2 linked regions of the Oryzias latipes genome follow. The protein of the gene in region 2 interacts with the protein of the main gene of each other region in a pairwise test. Links are inferred from orthologs where the notes say so. Each region holds a gene or a part of one and is shown on either strand. Other genes may lie near its edges.

Region 1 (4,464 bases), on a different chromosome or scaffold from region 2:
TGCTTTCATTAGCAACAGAGGACGACAGAGGACGGCAGTCGACGGCTGCATGGGTTCACGGTAGTCAGCAGCATCACGCCGTAGGAGTGGGAACAGGGAGCTCACCTGAAGGCGTCTGCTCCCTGACCACACAGCCTTCCTGGCATGGAGGACAGTCTGCCTGTAGCAGCAGAGACAGAAAGTGTAAACATTCCTCTCTTCCTCGCCGATATTCAGACAACACAGAACACTAGAGCGTTTTCACATGACGGGTGTCATTTCGCCTCACGAGGAGTCATCAAAAGGTTAAAACCTCACACTTTTTCCTTTCACTTTTGTTGCTTGATGTAACTCCAAAATGTAAAGAAATGCTTTGAGACGGTTCGTCTCTGAAAGCTTGAAAACCCCTTAAAAATATGAAAGAAGTGAAACATGAAACCCAAAACAGTAGCTGCGCATTTTATTTATTTAATTACTAAGAAATAAGTGTTAAAAAAATGAAAGACTAGAAATCTAATAAAAATTAAAGTGTTAATCACTAAAAAGTGGTTGTCTTTCAGAGGAAAGCGGGGCACTCCTCACTACCAGCACAAGGTGTTTTAATGTGTGCTGGCAAATACTGAGCAGTGGGATGAAAGAGGGACGCTGGCTTTGCTGGTGAAGCTCTCACACTCGGTGCTCCGGTGAGGGATTATTTTCTTACCACTGAACCTCAGCTCTTCACAAATCACCCCAAGCTCTAGAACGTCAGAATGATTTCCTAAATCACACACATATGTGACATCGGTGCCTTTACATTCTTCTTAAAGTCTATATGATTAAAATACACCAAGGTGATTTTTTTTTTTTTTTGCAATCAAAAAAAAACCTTATATTTTCACTCAACGTGCCTGACAGAAGAGGGGAAAAAACAGCTATTCTTGTTCCTAAATGCACACTCAGGCGACAGTGCAAGTGTTCTTCTCCGTGACACGACTGCGTCTCAACCCTTATAGAACGGTTATGTCAAACGGCAGGCCTGCAAATATTGTAAAGAAAGCTCATCCTCTGTTTTAAAGGCTGGGTCAGCATTTGTGAAGGTCTATTTCTGCATAAGTGAGCACACAGAGCCCAGAGCCTGTTCAAATAGTCTGCCGCTCTCTCTCAGGCTGCTCATGACAACAGCCCAGCAGCAGCACTGTTTGATCTCCCGTGTTTTCCTTAATCTGGGTTGTCAAGGTTCGCTTGTTGGAGGCTGTTTACTTTCCTTCTACAAAAAGACACTTTTTTTTCTCTCTCTCTCTCTCTCCTCAGACAATGACTAATCCAAAGACCAAAAAGGAGGGAACACTGCCAGCAATAGTTTTTTAAAGCAGTATTGTTTATGTCACATGTGCCGTTTAAAGGAATTCTGTCACACAGTCTTTAAATTCTCCCTCTGCAAGAGGTTCAAGGGAGGAACAAATGTCACTCTCTATTTTATTTATTTATAAATAAAATAAATGAGATTTCATTCTAAAAAGCAGGAGCTTATTAAATCATTCCAAATTAATAATCCTTGACAAATGGGTGTAATTTATTATTTTTATTAGAATAGAAAAAAAACGTTATTGAGTCTACAAAAGAGGAATTACCTTGTTACCATTATAGCTCTATTTAAAAAAAAAGAAGAGCGATAATAAAAAACACTTTGTAAAAATAATAATTGTCCAGTTTCTCTGATGTGTTGACACCAAATATCTGAAATATATTTAGAAAAAACTAACAGATGCATATAAAATATATTTTACAGTGTTTATGCTCTGATAGTAAACGTTACACAATCTTCTCGCTGTTGCATCATAGTTTTGTTTTATTGAATTTTAATTTAAAAATTATAATTCACGAGCAAACATTTTGGACACATTTTTGCTTCGATGTAGATGAACTGAAACGTCTGTTTGTGGTGTTTAATGTTCACAACAGAAAAAAAAAGCGAGTATAGTGTAGAAGTCGCAGCGCGTTGTGTTGCTGAACGGCTTTGTGTAGACTAGAGAGCTAATCATGTTGTAATGAATTGAATATCCGTTTCAGTTGGGCTGCTGAGTCTGCTAAGGCGCACAGAAACAGCAGCCTCCGGCCGGAGGACACTTCCATGAACTGAAGAAAAGTCTTCAAAGTTCGGGAAAGCTCCATCCATCCATCCTTCAAGTTCAGGCAGAAACCTGCTAACAGGTGGAGAGAAGCTCCATCCCGGGACCGACAAATCACGGCGCTCACGCGCGCTCCCTCTAGTCGGTTCTTTTCTCCACTTTTTCCTAGAAGCTTCGAACTTTGTTGACCCTCCAGAGCCCCTGCGGGGATTTGCACCTTCCACCACCGCGTGTCTCAACGGTCTTTGCTGCTCTGAAACTTCTGCGGCGCCGCTGAAACTTCAACTCGTTTTTGTTTGTTTGTTTGTTTGCCCAGAACAGGCTGAAACTTTGAACGGCTCGTCTGCGTGTCTGTCTGCCGCCGCCGCTGAATGCCGCGCAGCCCCACGAGCCTCGGCCAAAACACGCGAGCGAGCACCGCCAGAAGAGCCAAACTTACCGTGGAGGAAAACGCTTCAGCAGGCTAACCGGCGCACGCGGACGGTACCGATGGCTAACCCGTGCACGCGAGTTCGCTACCAACATAAAACCACACCGTAAAAACACCGATATTACTCTGCCCGCGAAGGGGGGGGGGGGGGTCACTAACTATCTAACTAACTAACTAACTTGGCTCCAAGCAGTAGAAAGTGATGCTTACCAAGGGCGTCGAAAACGAAGCAAAAGTCGGAGTTTGACTGTCGCCGCGTGCCGCTCTGACTCACAGGCACGAGCGCCTTTTCTTAATGTTATTAGATTTTTACACGCGGAAAGAAGAAGAGGAAAAGGGAAGAATCGCGGGTTTGATGTTATTGTTTTGATGTCCAAACCTCTGACGTCACATCCACCTGCTTTGTAAACAACTTTCATCGCTCTGCAGGGACTTTGTGGAAACATCATTTACCCGAACAATTCCAATAAAAGTCCTAAATTACTTCTAGTTACGGAAAATGGGCTGATTTGAAATAGTTTTGTTACAAAGTTAGATAAGAAAGAAAAGACACACCTGTAAAGACTAAAGTGAAAGCGTGAACTAGGATATATTTAGAGAAAACCTTTTCTTTTTAACCACTGATTAATACAATCGTGTTAAATGCTAGAAAATAAAATGACAAAAGTGCTGTTTACGTCAGAAATCTGTTTTAAATTTACGGCCATAATCTAGAAAAACTCTTCTGTTCATCCCGCTGGTTTATGAACAGATTCTAAGGCCTGAACTGTCTGCAGGAAAGCAACAATAGTCTGCTTAATAGTATATTGTTTTCTCCTTCTTTTTGTTTGTTTGTTTTTGTTAGTTAGTTGTTGTTTTCGTTTGTTTTATTTTGTTTGTTTTTCTTCGTTTTTAAAAATATATTTTTCGTCACATATTATTTAGATGAACATCTTATCTTATTTCTATCATCTGTATTTGTCACAGCTGGAAGAGACGCCTGCTGCAGGAAATGCAGAAAGCCGGTTTGTTATTGGAGAGCGCCACCGTGTGGCTACTTGTCAGTATGGAAGACAAATTCCAAAATCCACTGAAACACTAAAACAGCGCATGTTGTTTCTGAACACTTTTAGTCTAAGTGGCAGAACCTTCACTTTTATTCGAATGTAACATTTATTTCATTACATTTAGTATTGGTCCGTCGGCATTCCACCAAATCTTTATTTTAAAAATATAATATTGTATTTTACACTCATATCTTCATAATGTATGCTTTGGTCGACATTTTATGTAGCGGGAAAAATAAATGACAATCAAGGCAAAACCAGGGAAACAGGGCACAACTACATGGAGTTCAGTGACCATTTCAGTGAAGAGAGCGGAGCCGCAAAGGTTACTATTGGTTAAAGATTACTTGTGTCATGGCTTGGCAGGTCTCTGCTCCTCTGTCTCCCCCCTCTGGTTGTTTCTGTTATTGCTGTCCTGTGGCTTCTTTCTGCCACTCTCCTGACACATCTGCATCAGGGGTGTCCAAACATTTAGTAAAGAAGGCGAGATTTGGTGAGCTTTAACTGTCTGAGGGCCAACCATTCAACTTAAACTATTTTAATAAGATTAAATGCAAATGAACAGTTAAAGGGCCTTTATCACACAGACTCAACTTTTTGCACGTTTAAGTGTATTATAATGTTAATTCGTCACAAAAATAACCCCAAAGTGGTATTTTGATCTATTCACACATTTCTGAGTATTCCTATAACCCTTGAGCTCTCTTAGATGACCCCACCCTTACTTTGACGTGTTCTCCCTACCATGACAAAGGTGGATAAAGGTGAAAAGATTTCATGTAATCCATGGACACCAGTGAAGATCACAAATCATTGAAGAAAAAAGGTTCAGTGCACTGTTTAGTGGGTCAAGATGACCCAACTCCCAATGGTAAAGTGCCTAGGATAGCACAAGGGT
Region 2 (4,423 bases):
CTGTAAAAAATAGGCCCACATTTAATAATTTAAGTTATAGTTTAAATTATGTTTAAATCAATATTAACTATTTTTTAAATATACATTTAAATACATATTGAGTGGAAAAAGAAACTTTTAAAATTATGCTCACATTTTTGTTGGTGGGGAGTTTATTTCTTTCACATGAACGTCCCTGGAGAAACAATGTAATGTTAAGGAAGCATTGCTTCACATCTGCATTTATCCTTTTGGTAATACAGTAATCCCCCGCCCATTCGCGGTTTAATATTCGCGCCCCGCCCATTCGCGAATACGGGGGGATTACTGTAGTGTGTATCTTTAGCAGGAAATATAGAGATCTACTCATACAGTCATCACAAACTCTATTTTTACGACCATTTTGTCCTTCCTTGCTAGGATAGGCTCCAGCAACACCTTGACCCCAGAAGAGATAGAGAAGGTTCAGAAATTAAACAGATGGACGGGTGAATGGATGGATGAGTCAATGTAGGATTGGGTCAACTGTGTCTTAAAATATGGATTGATTATCTTCCAACTGTTTTAACTTGCACCACATCACCAGTCGTGTTACCAGTGTTTGAGCACAAAACCACGCCTCTTAATTGTTTCCCTCAATTCAAAAGTTTATGGTCAAAGTTCTGCTATTCTTATCAGACAGTTACTGATGCATTGGCAGAACTACTTCAATTTAAAACATTTTCATTCATTTAGTTCCCGTTGTTTGTTTTTGGCATCTTTGGTTGTTAAATTCTGATTTTTTTCATGAGTTAGATCTCTTAGATGTTTTCTGCTAAGGTACCTTATATATTATTTAACCCCTAAAATTTGCTTTGGTTCCAAGACAGCATCTGTAGTGACTTTTCAGTTGTCTTCAGTTGCCTGTTTTAAACCTCAGTAGTCTCTGCACTCACTGGTGAGTTTGCCAATCACACAGGCTGTTTAAAATGACGTAGGAATGGCATTGACGCCCCTATTAGGATCCTTTTCATTCAAAATGCAATGTGAAGGTTATGACACAAATTTGTGATGCCCCTTGGAATAAATTCTTGGAACTTTGAGTGAAGCTATGCCTAATGTTTTTGGGACATATTTCACATTATTTTGATTTTGTCTTTGCTTATTTATTGATTTATGCATTTGTGAATTGTCTCTAGACGTTTTGTCTTTGTTATAAAACACAAAACTGATCCGAATTTTGCAGTCAAAAGTGACAGATTTTTTGTATACTCTGAATTTAGAATTTTGGACAGTTTCAGGTTTGTTACAGACTTATTGTGTAATACAATGAAAAATATTTTTAAGAAAAAGAATCTGGGGTTATACTAAAAATTGATATCAAGCATTGCCCCAAGAACTGTATTAAAGATAAATTATTTGAGCAAATTGTAAAGAAGAAACTAAGATTAAAAAGGCCCTGGTTAAAGAAAATAGATTGTTTCTGTTTTGTTTGTTACTTCACGCAGTTATTTTTTTTCTTGGCTTGTTTGACCATTAAAACGGTCATTAGGGGTGATAAATCTGAAAAGATTGTGAGAAATTGCTTTCCTTTGACTGTCAGAGAAGACACAGAACTCAAAGGGGTCATCTTCGTGATAGACGATCTCTAGACGTAAAGTGGAAAGTTCTACGTTGTGCGCATGCGCTCCCCGGGATTAATGTCAGGGCACAAAAGTGGCGCTACACCGTTTCAAGATCTTCTCCGGTAAGCGATCCCCCCAGCCTGTCCATATATTCCACTTTCACGCCAAATTGCTCAAAGTTTTGGGAACTTGTGGGGGTTCTGGCGGCATTCCTGGGAATTCTCTTCAGAGCCAGCCCGAAAGCAGCATTCATATGAAAGGCTTTATTGGTAGTTACATTTTTACAGACATTTCCCTTTACGCTCCGTGTGCTGTGACTGCAGCCGCCTCCAGGCTCCACAGTATTGTTTAGTCGGCTCCCTAATGGCGGACGGCGGGCACTGGCGTTTTCCGCTGTGAGGTGTGCAGGGAGGGGGCAGATTTGGTGTGGTCGGGGCTTGTGGCTTACACCTGGCGTTCAGCAACAGGAAACCGCTCCAAAAATGATGCGTGCGTTTATCTGGGGTTTGTTGTTGACACAATTGAAGCTTGTTCATGTAACGGCAAAGGGAAGGGCGCCCCTTCCGGCGACCGGGTGTAAGTGCAACTGATTGCGCTAGGGTGGACTCTGCAGGGTAACTTTCCAATTAAAACCCCGGCTTCTCAGGTATCCTAGAAATCAGTAATTTTCAGCTGTGTCAAATACTGTAGTTGATACCAATGGCACGTGCCGGGGCGAGAAGGGCAAACTAAGCGACTGAAGAGGTTTTTTTTTTTTTTTTGGGTGAAAACAAACGTCAGCAGACGCTCGGAGTTGCGTTTTTAGCGCGTGCTCTGACGTGTTCGAGCTTTTTTTTGGGCCACATTGTCACGTATTTGAGTCAGTTGCGTTCGTTTTTAGAGGCGTTTTAACAATGGCGCAGTCTGGGTTTGCTCTCCTCCCCTCGGTCCGCCGCTAATCCAATGGCTGTTTGCGCCAGGAAAGGCAGGGGTGGGAACGGAAAACCCTCAACCACGTTTCCAATGAACCCCAACTTGGGAGCTCAACCCCCCCCACCACCACACACACAAACGCACGCTCGCGCGCGCATGGCTGAAAGAGTTGCGCAGCTCACGTAGCTGTTTTTTTTTAAACAAAAATATTTTCTTTGAAAGTTGTGGAGTTGGGTTTTATAAAGGTAATAAAAAAGAGGAGGGGTGACAGGCGCCGAGTGAACCGGGCGCCTGAATCTGATTCGGTGATTCCTGAACTGTATCATTAATCAAGGGCACGCTTCCCAGAAGGCTTTGCGCGCTTCCAATCCTCGGTGATTTTGTAGTTTCTCCTCAGGAAAGCCGCGTGGAGGGTTTTTAGTGCGGCATTTTGCTACCAGGTAACCAGAGGGGGCTGTTCTTGAGCCCATCAGCTGGTTGGGGGGGGGGGGGGGCAGGACATTATGCATCAGTGACATAAGCCTTATATAATAACCTCATTGGAATACGTCAGGAGTATTCTCCTCTGGTGCAAACAGCTGCACATCTCCACCTTGTGACCTTCTAGGAGAAACAGCTGGAAAGGCAGAGCAGCACCTTTGAGGTGGTGATGTGGCGCAGGCCCTGTGTGTTATTGCAGGGGGGCAGTCCCTCCACAGCTCCGGCCCACCTTCCTTTCCACCTGGTGTTGACATTGGGAGTGGGGTTGCATGTCAGAGCTAATTAATGCTGGATCCTCGTTTTTCCTCGCAGTCACGTGAACGCAACCTTCCTCCCAGCTCTGCATTGCAGTCTGGTCTCGGTCTAAACCAGGCTATTTCCCTCCATCAGAGCGCAGAGTCCTCAGCTGGTGGGATATTAGGTCAGAAAGCTGGATGGGAGATGCTGCTCATGCAGGAGAGCAGATCTGGGGATTCTTACGGCATTTCATCATTGTTAAGTCCAAAAATATCAAATTTTCTAAATCTCTGGACATCAGCAAAGGTATTGGCTTCCAGAGAGGAGCCTATATGAAATAAATGCTATGGACTTCCATCAGGTTTTTGAACAAATGCATTTATCTTTGGGGGTTTTCTGCTTCTTGTGCCTCCTGTCACTTGATCAGAGACTCTTTCCTCATTTGGCTTCACTGTCAGGCAGAACCAGCCTGCTGTTGAAGGTTTTCACTGCAAAGTTAAAGACCTACTCTGATGAAAATTGCGTTTTTGGTATTCTTGTGGTGTTTTTCTCACGATGGAAAGCTCAAAATTGCCTTTCTTAGTATTTCTTTATTCAAATTGTTGTGAATCAGGAATAAATGAAAAAATGCTACAGCGAGTCACACGTTCCCTTCTCCACTTTAGTGTAATGCGTCCACTTGCTTCAATATTGCTTGTCATTTTTGTTGCACTGGTAATGTTAGGTTGGGGGTGTGAGGGCTGTAAACTAGCAGGAGAAAGTGTAAACAGATAGATGATGGGATGTGGGAGCAGGCTTGCTCAGCACCAACAGTCCTGTCCACAACTCAGAGGTGAATTTCTAACGAACTACTGCCGCTCTGCAGAAACTGTCTTAAAAGACGACACCGCTTTTTGATTTTGACTAAAAACTGCACAATCATTTAAAGACCACTGGGAACGCTTTTGCAAAAGATCATGATGGGAGTGGTTCTTAAAGATTGTTTTACTCAAGAACAGCATTTCGAATTAGATTAGATTCAATTTATTTAGAAAATTGAATAAATACATCACATATGTAAACATGATTTATTCAAAAATCAATTTAGGATCTTATAGCCCTTGATTGGATTTAGTTAGCAGACCCAATGCAGCAGTTCCTTTTAGAATAACAACGAATATTGAATCCTTTGACCTTTAATCAGACCTTTACTACAATTGCAGGTCAGGGGA

Evidence for each region.
Region 1: the proteins of zmym2 (region 2) and forkhead box protein P1-B come close enough for resonance energy transfer, tested with the Homo sapiens proteins (2 studies listed by BioGRID). The link is inferred for Oryzias latipes from reciprocal best matches to the Homo sapiens genes ZMYM2 and FOXP1.

What each region holds. Positions count from the first base shown.
Region 1 is NC_019863.2:6,332,612-6,337,075, reverse strand, and holds the start of forkhead box protein P1-B, read right to left. Parts: upstream 2,878-4,464; 5' UTR 2,731-2,877; intron 2,609-2,730; exon of another isoform or gene 2,530-2,608; intron 161-2,529; 5' UTR 106-160; intron 1-105. UniProt on the Homo sapiens protein: Transcriptional repressor. Can act with CTBP1 to synergistically repress transcription but CTPBP1 is not essential. Plays an important role in the specification and differentiation of lung epithelium.
Region 2 is NC_019879.2:11,194,150-11,198,572, forward strand, and holds the start of zmym2 (zinc finger MYM-type protein 2), read left to right. Parts: upstream 1-1,529; 5' UTR 1,530-1,705; intron 1,706-4,423. UniProt on the Homo sapiens protein: Involved in the negative regulation of transcription.